3 linked regions of the Oryzias latipes genome follow. The protein of the gene in region 2 interacts with the protein of the main gene of each other region in a pairwise test. Links are inferred from orthologs where the notes say so. Each region holds a gene or a part of one and is shown on either strand. Other genes may lie near its edges.

What was found.
Region 1: the proteins of rnf41 (region 2) and c11h1orf109 interact in binary tests that used the Homo sapiens proteins (3 or more experiments, as listed by UniProt). The two-hybrid records come from large-scale screens. The link is inferred for Oryzias latipes from reciprocal best matches to the Homo sapiens genes RNF41 and AIRIM.
Region 3: the proteins of rnf41 (region 2) and enoph1 interact in binary tests that used the Homo sapiens proteins (3 or more experiments, as listed by UniProt). The link is inferred for Oryzias latipes from reciprocal best matches to the Homo sapiens genes RNF41 and ENOPH1.

The regions. Positions count from the first base shown.
Region 1 is NC_019869.2:20,075,804-20,079,985, forward strand, and holds the start of c11h1orf109 (uncharacterized protein C1orf109 homolog), read right to left. Parts: upstream 2,803-4,182; 5' UTR 2,384-2,802; coding exon 2,106-2,383; intron 874-2,105; coding exon 694-873; intron 234-693; coding exon 115-233; intron 42-114; coding exon 1-41. Other genes in the region: cdca8 (borealin), read left to right, coding at 3,300-3,390. UniProt on the Homo sapiens protein: Part of the 55LCC heterohexameric ATPase complex which is chromatin-associated and promotes replisome proteostasis to maintain replication fork progression and genome stability.
Region 2 is NC_019865.2:22,245,516-22,249,738, forward strand, and holds the start of rnf41 (E3 ubiquitin-protein ligase NRDP1), read right to left. Parts: upstream 2,804-4,223; 5' UTR 2,529-2,803; intron 853-2,528; 5' UTR 833-852; coding exon 743-832; intron 1-742. UniProt on the Homo sapiens protein: Acts as E3 ubiquitin-protein ligase and regulates the degradation of target proteins. Polyubiquitinates MYD88. Negatively regulates MYD88-dependent production of pro-inflammatory cytokines.
Region 3 is NC_019870.2:2,828,087-2,832,109, reverse strand, and holds the start of enoph1 (enolase-phosphatase E1), read right to left. Parts: upstream 2,804-4,023; 5' UTR 2,533-2,803; coding exon 2,449-2,532; intron 1-2,448. UniProt on the Homo sapiens protein: Bifunctional enzyme that catalyzes the enolization of 2,3-diketo-5-methylthiopentyl-1-phosphate (DK-MTP-1-P) into the intermediate 2-hydroxy-3-keto-5-methylthiopentenyl-1-phosphate (HK-MTPenyl-1-P), which is then dephosphorylated to form the acireductone 1,2-dihydroxy-3-keto-5-methylthiopentene (DHK-MTPene).

The sequences.
Region 1 (4,182 bases), on a different chromosome or scaffold from region 2:
TCACTCCAGCTCCAGGAAAAATGACACTCTGCAAAGTGTTTCTGCAGGAGACAAGAGTCCCACATCTCAGAGTTGGCGGAGCTCGCGTTTCAAGCTTCGGACAGTTAATGTTACCTGTGATTCGCTGCTCGCCGTCAGGAGACTCCAGGGACTTCCACCTCTCAGGAAGGGATTCCAGCAGAGCGAGGTCGTTGGGTCTGAGCGTTTGCAGCAGAACTTTCCTCTGCAGGAATCTGAACATGAGCTCAGGAGAGCAGAAGACAGAAACAAAAAAACAGACTGCTGGCTCTACCATTCCCCGCCCTCGCCGCCAACTTTTGTTTTGCCCTGGAGGGCATGATCATAATCATAATTTTAAAGTTTTCTATGGATATCCTCCGTTTTGGCTTTGATTGAAGGATTTGAAATATATTTTTTGAACCCCATTAGAGATCTTTGCCCCATTCATTTTTGTGATGGTTTCTCCCACTGGAATGTTTATTTTATTTTATTTGTTAGTTTGTTTGTTTGTGTGTGTAGGGGGTGGACTATGTCAAGCCTTCCTATGCAGCGGGTACCGGGTCTGTGCAGATCTTGGTAAATATTTTAGCATTTGCCGTTTCGCTCTCAGAAAAAAAGAATTGCAAAAACAATCCGGTCCTTGCCGTCCATGAATGCTGCGGACCGTACCAACAGCACAGACAGGAAGGATACTGCTGCCTGTAGTGGCGCTCGGCGTCCTGAAGCCACTCCAGCATGTCTGCGACTGACGGGGTGACGGCGGAGCGCTCTGTGACGGCCTGCAGGTCCAAACTGGTGGCGTTCTGCTCATACAGCTGCATGACGGACCTCACCTGGTTACTGATGGCGTCTCTGGCAGACTGCAGACGACACCTGAGAAGGAAAGGAGTCTGTCTTAGTCCTCGGACAAGGAAGCCCTTGAAGACTGATAAAAATCATGTTTTTATCTGTTTTGACAAGTTTTTGCGGCCTTTTTCTGATGATCGAGGACATACATAAAGAAAAGTATGCTTAAAATTGGCAATCTGAAAATGTCTTTATTCAAATTGCTGTGAATGAGGAGCAGAAGAAAAAACCATGATGTCCCTGAATGCATCAGCACTGTCTCTGCTATGGACACACCTGGCATATGACACGGTATAACGGGGTGGGATTATATACGTTCGCTTCCTTCCACTCCCTTTCAAGCAATATTTATTAATATGTCTAAATATCCTAAGTTTGATTCGTCATTGTATGAATGTATAACTGATGATTGTATTGTTGTTGTGTATTGTTCTTATTTGATTGGTTGAAATAAACCATTTAAAAAAAAAAAGAAAAAAAAAGACACGCGTTCCAGAACATGTTAACCCATAGTGTTCACACAGTGCTAGTGGGTTGGGGCTTCTCCTTCTTCTACAATTGACCATGACTTGTCTTCCACCTACAGTTGGCAGAGTCTTGGTGCGAAATGTCAAAGTGGTGCAAATCTCTTGTATATCTGACTCCAGGCTTTTTCTTTTCGCATCTCTAGTCCAATATATGAAAGATTTAGTGTCATATATTCCGACTGGAATCAAATCAAAATCATTAATTTGTCCTCCATGGTCAACTTTCAAACGGTTGGTGTTTCCGTAAATTTAAAGGGGTGCCATCCATGCGTCACTACCAAATCTGAGTCCCTAATTGGTCAAAGTTCGACCTGGTTTAACTTTTAAGGTACATTTAATAGATGCACTTTTTGTACATACAGAGCTCAGAAATTATCGTAGAAACTTCAAGAGTTTAAACCAAAATGCAAATTTACATTTTTTTTATTGGTGGTTTCTTGAACGCGCATCGCTGAGGGCGGTGTGAACGTAGCTTAATGATGGTTCTAGTTTCTGGTAAAGGTCTTATGTGGCTTATTTTGATTTGGGGTTTTATCTTTAATATTTTCTTTAAACGGAAATTGTAATATATGGTTTGGTGCTAGTATCTGTACTACAGGAGCTCTTATTTTGAAACAAACTTTTTTTATGCTGTCACAAAAAACAGAGCTAATAGTCTTTTCAACGTCACAGGAGTCCCTGTGATGACGTCATCCGAGAGGCGCGTGTGTGTGGAGTTGTCGCGTGTCTCACATCTTCTCGTTGAGTTTCTCCAGCACCGTGTCCGCGGCCTCCTGCAGTTTGAAGCGCAGCCGCTCCTCCAGCTTCGGGAAGGTTCCGAGCGGCGTGCTGGAGACCCGCACGTTAGAGAGAGCTCTCATCTGCTCCGCTAGGTTCCCCAGAGACCCCAGGAGAGGGCTGCACTCCGCTAGCTCGCTCCCCCACAGCCGCTGGTTGCTCTCCAGCGCGGCGAAGCTGTTCCTGAACGCCTGGTGGAGGGCGCTGAGCGTCGGTCGGGAGATGTCAGACATGCCCTCGGCCTCCGCTCTGGCTTGGATGGGACTGTAAATATAGTTCTGACCAAGTCTGAAAGCCTCAGCAAAATTCTGCACTACTTTTCTGCGCAGAACCAGAAAGCGCTTCCGGTGTCAAGTAGTGACATATGCTGCCTTTACTGATCCTTGGAGATACGGTGCCCCATAAATACAGTAGCTCCTCAAAAAAGGCACTTGATTTCGGAAAATTGTATTTTTTCGTGCTCTCCTTTTTAAATCTACATACACACATACATACATTTTATTGATATATTTTCCCACTGGTTTTGTTAATGCTTCTGGACTTTTTGAGAACTTTTTTTTATATTTATAATCACAGGCATGTCTGTAGGAAGTTGCTATTTATCTTGGTTAAATTGGGTAAATTGTAATTGTGAGTTAAAAAAACTTTTTACTTGGTGACTATTTTTAGTATTTCCTGCCCTTCAGCTGTTTTACAAAAATGCTTTTTTTGATTCTTACTGAAACGCTTTCCATCAGGGGACGATTCATTTTTTCCCGAGTTGTCTTCGAACGCAGCATTGAACATTCGCAGTGCCGAACCCTGATGACGGGGCTCAATCCACGTCCTGATTGGCTGGATTTGTGTCTTGGCTCCGCCTCGCGCGGACATTTGAAAACGACTTCGCGAAGAAGGCAGGCCAGAGGGAAACCCACACAACTGTTACCTTTGTAAGAAAACCCGCTTCAAACTCAGACGAATTGAATCTAAAAACATTTATATCATAAGTGAGACCAAAGAATGAAAACGGGAGTAAATTAATCTGCCGGATAAACTCCTGCCGATTCCAAAGCTAACAACATAGCTGCTAACGTCCTCGGCGGCTTATTTTTTTCCATCTCGAAAACAACGTTTCACAGTTTTCTCCTGTTTGTGAAGTTCTGAGCGGACATGGCGCCCAGGAAAAGGACCACGAAGCAGCGAAAGAACAACCAGAAAATTGAAAAACTGGAAGTTTTTTTGGAGGATTTCGACAGCGAAGGTAAACGACAATGCTAGTTCGGCTTAAGTAAAGGCTCGGCCTACAGTTTGTTGTCTGAAATAAAGTGTTCTGAAACCCAACAAACCGAACCTGTTCAACCTTTGTCAGTAACAGCTGAAAGAGCTGACCAGGTTGGGGATATATATATATATATATATATATATATATATATATATATATATATATATATATATATATATATATATATATATATATATATATGCCAGCTCTTACCAGCTAATTCAGAATTGACAAAGCCTCTTGGATAAGGGGTGAAACATCTTCTAACTTTAAAAACTAAGTCTAGATGACAGCCCCTAAACCTACTACTATGATGGAATCAACCTGGATGAATGAGTCTTCAAGACAATCCAAAGAAAACAAAAAATAACTTCATTTAGCTGTTATAATTTGTTATTATCATTTGGAAATTGCAGGTTTTTTTTCATGAAAGACCCTACAAGAGTTCCTCTCCTTATATGTGCAATTTCATGCACTAATAAAAAAATGTGCTCAAAAACTAGTTAGAATTTGTTTGTAAATTTACTGATCGCTTATTTCCTGTTTGTGTTTTTTGTTTTGTTGCTAAAAAGATAATTATACGTAAAAAAGGAAGTTCTGCTCCTTCGAAATGATGCAATAAACCGGATCATAAAGAAGTGGATGGAAAAAGTGCTATAAAAAAACAATCTAAATTTTGATATCAAAACTCATTAAATATGCATCTTTTAAAGCTTAGCATTTTTTAATAGCTTGAAAAAATTAAATACGAAGAAATGCTATTTAAGCCTT
Region 2 (4,223 bases):
TAGGCAAAATCCGTGAAGTAGAAACCTTTATTTTTTTTAAACTATTATTATACAATTAAATACTCTATTATACATTGAAAAGAAAGAACAAACCAATTTACAGGCTCAAGCATTTGTTTCACAAATAAAAGTACTTTAGAAACCTTTTTTTCAACAAATAACTCTGTACTGTACTGTCAAATAATAATTTTAATGAATGTGAACAGAAGGCTTCAAATCGCGGAGATTAGCCCCGCCCACCGCGACCCGAGTATTGGATTAAACGGGAGAAAATTTAAAATGATTATGAAAAAAATACAAAGTACAGTGGGACAAATAGTGACTCAGGTGTATTTCACTGCTCTTCAGACTGAGCCGCTGCATCCTGACTCAGCTCTGCAGTGTTTTCTTCTTTTGAAGCCCGCGGTGCAGCTGTGTTTGTTCGGGAGAAGAACATAGTGATAGGCAGTTGTTGTCGCTCTTTTTTCTGCTTTGCAAAAAGATCCTTATACACCGACTTGCCACCATCAAGAGAATTTGCACGTAGTAATGAAAATTTGGCAAGCTGATTTACGTACGTGCACATATTAAACTGCAACGTTATTGACGCACAGGTAGAGAAGAAGCGGAGTGACTTTTTAGCCAATCAGAATGCAGAACACAATGCACCATGCAAATCCGTGAAGTAGCGAAACCGTGAAAAGCAAACCGCGTTATAGCAAGGGATCACTGTATATCCAATTCCTTGTAAAAGTAAACTTGCCTGCACTGGTTCTTCCAACACTCCACTGCAAATAGGACAGAGGAGGTCTTCATCCACCTCACCCTGGAACCTCGTAACATCGTACCCCATGGTACACTACCCACAACCTCCTGAGCATCAACAACAGGTAGCACACAAACAAACAGTAAAATGTCAGTACTTCAAACGGTTGTGATGCACAAAGAAGGAAACAACACAATTGTATTAATACATGTCAATTAATACAATTTTACACTTTAAATTTCAGCATTTAAATGGGAATGATTAATTATATGTAATTTCAATGACTTTAGACTTTCAAATCATTTAGTAATATCTTCATTTACATAAAATAAGTGCTGAAATGGATGTATAAAAGTAGGGCATACTGAGATTTTACCCTTTACACAATTGTTTAAAAACATAAACAAATGGATTTATTTTGTACAACAAAAAAAACATCTACTTCATGTGACCGCATAAAACTGCTTTAGTCAAGGTCTCACAGGGATTTAACTAAGAACAAGAAGTCTGAAAACATCAGTCAGCAAGCTGAAGAAAATTACAACAGCAAGTAATTAAACTGTTTGAGCCCAAATCTGTGCAAAAATGTGTCCATCACCCTTGTTGAGGTTAGTCATCTGAGCTACTAAAATGAAAAGCACAACAGTTTCATGGGAAAAAAAATCTTCAACAAGAAGCTTTGTGGTTTTGGACTACTTAAAAAGCATTGTGTTCATATTTTTCCATGCCATTCATACAATAAAATTACCAAACTTGCAAAAAGGAGAAAAGGGTGAAAACATTATTTCTCTGCATGAGTTACTTTAGTTAAAAAAATGCTTAGTACCTCTTAAATATCTCTCTCTATATATATATCTATCTCTCTCTCTCTCTATATATATTTTTTTTTTAAAGAAAGTAAAACTATACCTATACCTATACAGCTATTTGCTCGTTAATGCTAAAATCTGGCAAATAAATAAATAAAGACCAATGTTAATCAAAAACTTGATGTAAAGTTGTTTGTTATTTGTTTAATTTAGCTTTTTGGGACAAAAAGCATTGAAATAAATTCCCATGTTTGCTGACATATTTAAATAGCTGTGATTTAAAAGAACCCCCAGAAAATCAACTCTTTCCCAGAATTACTGTGTCAAGAACAGATAATATAAGGGGTTTAAGAGCTTTATTTAACCATATATGAAAAGACAAACTATTCGAGACAAAAAAAAATAGCCTACGTGATAACAGTTCTGCTGATGCGCAGCATAAAAAAGCGGTGCCCTTGAGCCGAAGTTGTGTTATTTTTCAGCCGCATCTCATCGGCATCCACATTTATACTGGGTTAAAATCTGAGGATTGGATTTCAATATCTGAGTACTTTCCAAATAGGATACTGACACCAATTCGGTTCGAGTTAGATTCACCTGACAATTCGATTTTAGCATCATTAAACGATAGCTTTAGCAAAAGTTAGCGTACCGCTAAAGCTAGTGTTAGCTACGTGGAGCTCTTTTCCCTTTGACAGTTTACTAATATATAATGTTAAACTATTTTACACAAACACATAAAAGTAAATAACAAATTTAGTGTTTCTTCAGAAAGAAAAATTAACACATGTCACGGGTTATTAGGAACTGACTTATGTCAAATATAGGTATAGGGTTAGCATCTACCAAAACAGTGGTTTTCATGAATGTTAGCACTCAAGCTAACCCGACGGATCTCAGATAGCACAAATATTTATGAAAGCGACTTTAATAAAAAACACTATGAGAAAAATAAAATTCACTACTATACTTACTTAGGCATGAAGCAAAACAGGTCCTTGTCAGGTTTACAAATGTTTAAAAACGTTGTACCTTCGCTAGCAATGTGCTAGCCACGTCTTGCTACATCCTACACTTGAACGTTGGCAGGAAGAGGAGGACTCTACCACAGGTTCTGAAGGTCTATGTCATTCTGTTCTTCAAATCAAACAGTTGATAATATTCCAATGGGGTTTAATGATCACTTTTCCTTTAGCCTGTTATATATGTTATGAAAGATGTGTTCGAAATGAGATTGAAAAACGGAATAGATTTTTGCCGCTGTCCCCTATTCTTGTTTGTAAATTGGTCTATTCCATAGTCTTCGTGCTGTCGAGGACCGATTACGTTTTTTATGTGTTAATTTAACCTTTATTTAACCATATAGAGAAACAGTTATACTTTAAAATGACCACCCAGATGTATTTAGGCATGTTTTTAGAAAACCAGAAAGCGATTACATTCTAAGGATTTTGACACACAATAAAAACTTTTTTCCCAGGAAATATTTTAGTTTTTACAGTATATTATTTTTATTTTGTTTTGTGTAGTTTAATTTGATAGAAATAATTGAAGATATTTCTTTTTGTTTTTAAACTTTTTTCTATCTTGGAAATGTCAGTTACTGTACTTTCTTTGTTCATCTGCCTTTTTCATGAAGTAATGGAACATTTTCTGACATATTTTTTTTATCATGTTAATAACATTATGCCCTGCATACATAGTAAACTTTAACAAAACTTTTCATGATTCTTTACCCAAAGGAAACAGCAGAAAGGAACATGTGAGCCATTGTAAATACAGAGTGTGGGTTCCAGACCATGAACATTTTTCTAAATTCTGCTGCTGGTGATTTGAATGATTGAAATGTCAAAAGACAGAAAACAATTAATTTAATAAACAGGAACCTCAGTAGTCAGCTACAACAGCCTCAGTCGCCACCGGTCCCCAGTTTGGTTACACACTCCTGTGTAATGGCGTCCCATTTTTCATCCAGCGTTTGTTGCAAGTCCAACATTGTTGCTGCATTAGTCACTCCTGCATAAAAAAATAAAAATCACACCCAAAATTGTTCCCTAAATTTAACACTTTGATTGACTTGAAGGCAGAATTGTCAGCAAGGTATTCGACTCTTCCCACTTCCAAATTCAGAAAGTAACATCCATCTACAGTGAGCGGCGGTTTGGCCATCTTTACAGGTTAAATCCTGTGGAGAATTATCTCTGGTTGCAGAATCTCATATTTTTCTTAATTGTGATTAGCTGTTTGCCAAGACAACTGCTGGTCTTATTGCCCTGCAAACATCAACTGCAAATCTGTAAAAAAAAAAAAAAAAAAAAATAGTGCAAATGAGAAGAAAAGGTGTCCTTAGGCTGTCTTCTTGGGACATTGACTTTTTTAGCCCATCTCTGACATTTATTGTTATAAAGTAATAATCTTAGCCTTCAATTTGGAAATGGAAAAAGAAATTATCTTCAACAAATACTGGGATTTAGTTTTGTAAAACACCACTCTGTAGTTGCCCTATTCCATAGGCCAACCCAAAGTAGGTCAATCAGTTGTTAGCAGCAACTGGGAGTACCTACATCTCAGAACAAGAGTTAAAAAATAAAAAACACATTAAAGGCTGCTTGAAATTGTCATTTTTTTATGTATACATTGTATTATCTCACCATTTGTTCTAAGTGAAG
Region 3 (4,023 bases), on a different chromosome or scaffold from region 2:
AGAAAGTCCATGAAACTTAAAGGGTAATAATTGGAATAATAATAATAATAATAATAATAATAATTAAAGAGGAAATAGTCAAAGTTGACCATAAATAAAGTGAAAACAGCACAATAACAAAAAAGAAAGGTTTGTGAAAAATGCGAGCGCCGGGTATCGAACCAGCGAGCTTCCAAAGAATCCCCATGTATTACAATGGAGGCAAAAAATCCTGGAATATCATGAAGAGTTCAAGGATTTAAAGGACCAAAAGTCATAGCAGGAAAAAGCTGAAAGAGCTGAACATTTGAATAGCTGAATAGTTAAAATAGCTGAGAAATTGTAGAAGAAGTTAAGCTGCAAAAAATGGTGGAAGATACTAGAAAAGAAAGAGAAACAGGAAAACAATGGAGTGAAGGATTTATAACATTAAACTCTAGTCATTTGAACAAGCTGAACGTGTTTATCTCTGAGCTTTTTTTTTACATCATGTTCAGGGGATTACTGATGAAAACTGGCCCTAGGCTAATTCTGGCCTTTTTAACTGTTTTTTTTTTTTTTAAATAAACATTTTTTATTATAATAACTTTAAAAAAATCAAAAAGTCCTGAACCACTTTAGTGGATAAATAAGACTTAACAAAAAGATTGAGTCATTTAAACTAGGAAAAACTGATGCAAGTAAAGGCATCAGTTTTGATTTTTATGCAGACTCATTGAGGTTGTTATCACACCCACAAAGATCTTAAAACCAGAAATTACCAAATAAAAATGCAAATTGAAGATTGAAATGATTCTTTCCTTTTTTTTAAAGGTCTTGGTTAACATGACGTAACAAAATCTGATTTTACAACATTCACCACAGTAAGGCTCGCGATTCTGTTACTTTTAAACTTCCTGTTCCTTTAAAACCAAAACGCTGACAGTCTAGAGCTGATGTGTCTGTCAGTCGACACGGTCTGGGAAAGAATCCACAAACGTCCTTTTGGCTTAAAGGACCGGCAGTTGAAACGACGTTTCCAAAGATTCCAAAACAGCGGAGGAAAACTTTAGAAAAGCGTCAGATTAACCTAAACGTGTAGGTGACATTTCCCTTTGTGCCCCAGGTTTTATCACTAAAATGGAATGAGCGAGTCATCTATCCAAAAAAAAAACATCTACCTAAACCAAAAAAAAGTCATCAACCAACCAAACGTCAAATTCATCTGGAAAAAAGGAGCAAGAATCCAGGATTACTTAAATCCCATATGGAATTGTCCAAACATTTCATATAAAACAAATGTGTATTTTACAGAATTGGTCAGATTGCTCATTATTATTAATAAAGTATTGATAACAGTGGGAACATTTACCTTTTTTTATTTTCTGTATAAGGATTAAATTAAATTCAAGAAAACAATACAATAGTATTAAGGAAAGAAAAGTAATCTTTGCTGCTTCCTTTTTCTGTTGATTAATGGTCAAACTATTACTACGGTAATCCCAAATTCTCAGGTTCATTTATAGTTTTTTTTTGTAAGATATTGTTACATACCTAGACAAAAGAGGAAGTGAGCAAGTTAAGGCCCCACTTTGTTAAATTTCCTGTTGCTGCAAAATGCAAATTGTGTTAACTCATTTAAAAATCATTAATATAAACTTTACCTGCAAGGAGCTGTTAGTTTTCAGGAAAACAACTGTACTTCCTGTGATATGAACATAGAACAATAGTTCTATGAATGCATATATGAATATTTTTGGCAGGATTGTTTACTGTTGATCAAAATTTCCAGTTTTATAATACACTGAACACTTTGTGGAGTACTCTCAGGAGATACATTTTTTTAATTTAGTTTTAAATGTTTTATTATTATTTCTTTATTTCTTTATTTTCACAAATTAAACCACTTTTTGACACATTTATTTTACCACACTAAATTTAGTGAAAAACAATTAATACCTAAACGAATAAATAAAAACTTTGCGGTTTTACGTAACTTCCGTTCCATACGTTTCGTTTACACATGCGCAGAAGTATAAATACAAAATGTGAGAGAAAGGGACAGAAAAATGCCTAAAAGGATTGGCTTTCGGGGAGATATACTACAAATATTAATGCGATATCTCATTAGTGTACAGTACGAATGCATTTTTTTTGTCACTTTAATATTCTGATATCTTAAGAAATCACATCATGAACGGAGACTTGCGTGTAAACAGGTTCAATGACTACAAGAGGAAAAGCTCGGAATTACGAATACTCTAAGGCCGTGAAGGCAGCACGTTGTTTTGTTTAATATTTTTAAGCATTTATGAGAAAATGGTTGAATAAATTACACCATCTGCACTATCATAACCTTATATAAAAATAGAAAGATGATAATACATAATAGTAAAAAAAAAAATCTGTAGTTTTCATTGTGTTTAAGCAGCCATTAGCATAGCCGTAGCCCGCACGACCCCGCAGGGAGGAACCCAGCCACAGATTTACCTTCACGAATGTGATCGGCGTGGTGGTGCCTTCAATGTCCAACAGCAGAGCACCAGTGCACGCAGGGATGGAGACAGAGGCCATTGTTGATCACAAAAAGCAGCTGGAGACGTTAGCTGGTCTGAGCTTAAAGGACAGCGGGCGGCGGCACCGCAGGATTCCAGCCAGGCGGCGATTCGGTCCGGTCCGGTCCGATACTCGCTGCTTCTCCAGACAGAAAAATCAACACCGATCGAAATCCAAACAGTTACGTTTGACACAACCTGTCCGTGACATGAGCTCGACAACCATTACAAAGCAACAACCAGCTCACATGTTCAGCATCGTCAGTTTAGCCTCCGCGTCGGGAGATGGCGCTGTTGAGTCGTAAAACTTATTTTAGTGGGGAAACCAGAAATTGGTGATGAGTACCAAACTATTGAATTACAAGACGACTACTCACTATAGTGCGTTTGCCATTTTGTCCGCATCTATTCCGAAATCGAATGGCCCAATATTCACATTTAAATTCCAAAATCAAGTGCCCTACAAATTTCCCAGAAGTCTCTGCGAAAAACCAGTGTGCAACACCAGATCGATGCACACTAGATTTTCGAATACAGACCACAATATGTTGCATTAGAACAATTTTTGCAAGAAATAATAAGTATTACCATCTATTTTTGATAAACCACTTACGTTTTTTCATGCTTTTGTCAAATAAAAGTTATAAATTCATAAAAATACAGTTACAAAAACAGATTTCTTGATAAATCAGGTATAAAACTGTTTTTTTGCACATTTTAAAAGCTAAATGTAATATTTTTTTACAACTTTTTGAAGCCTTTGTTTATCATTATATATGAAAATTGTTGAATTATTTTTCACAATTGTACAACTTTCTTCTCACAAATTAGATTTTTCTTCATAACTGTATGACTTTGTTCTCATGTTGTACAAACTAATGCTCCTAACTTTTAACTTTATTTAATAATTGTATGACTTTATTTTCATACATATGTCTTTTTTTCTTCTTTGATGGTGTCCCTGATGCGCCATCATGAGTGTCAGTGTTAGTATGATTTTTGATTTTGATAAAGTTTTTCTTCTGGTTGCTCGTTTGCTGAGCAGTTTTCCTTTCCTTTCATTTCAATTTCAGAATTTTATTTTTGTTTTTGTTGCCTAGCATTTTTAAACAAAACAATCAAATATAGAGTTGGTCATGCTTTTTATTTATTTATGTATGTATGTATTGATTGATTGATTGGTTTCTCCTAAAACCATTTCCATTATTTTGGAGAGAAAAAAAGGTCCAATACTAAAAGTCTTTCATATTTAGATTTAGAACTGTATCTAAAGATTTTTAAGATGAAGATAATTGGATCTTGGAAAATTAGGCTCAAAACTAAAACAACAAATCTCTTTATTTATTTATTAATAAGAGAACAATTCATTTGAATAAAGTCCCTTTTAAAAAATGTAAAATATTCAATTATTTACAAATTACCCTGGTGTTACATCTCCGCTGCAGCAGGTGGCGCTCTGCACTCAAATGCTCACTTGGGATTCGCAGAAGTAGACAAACAAGAAACGACT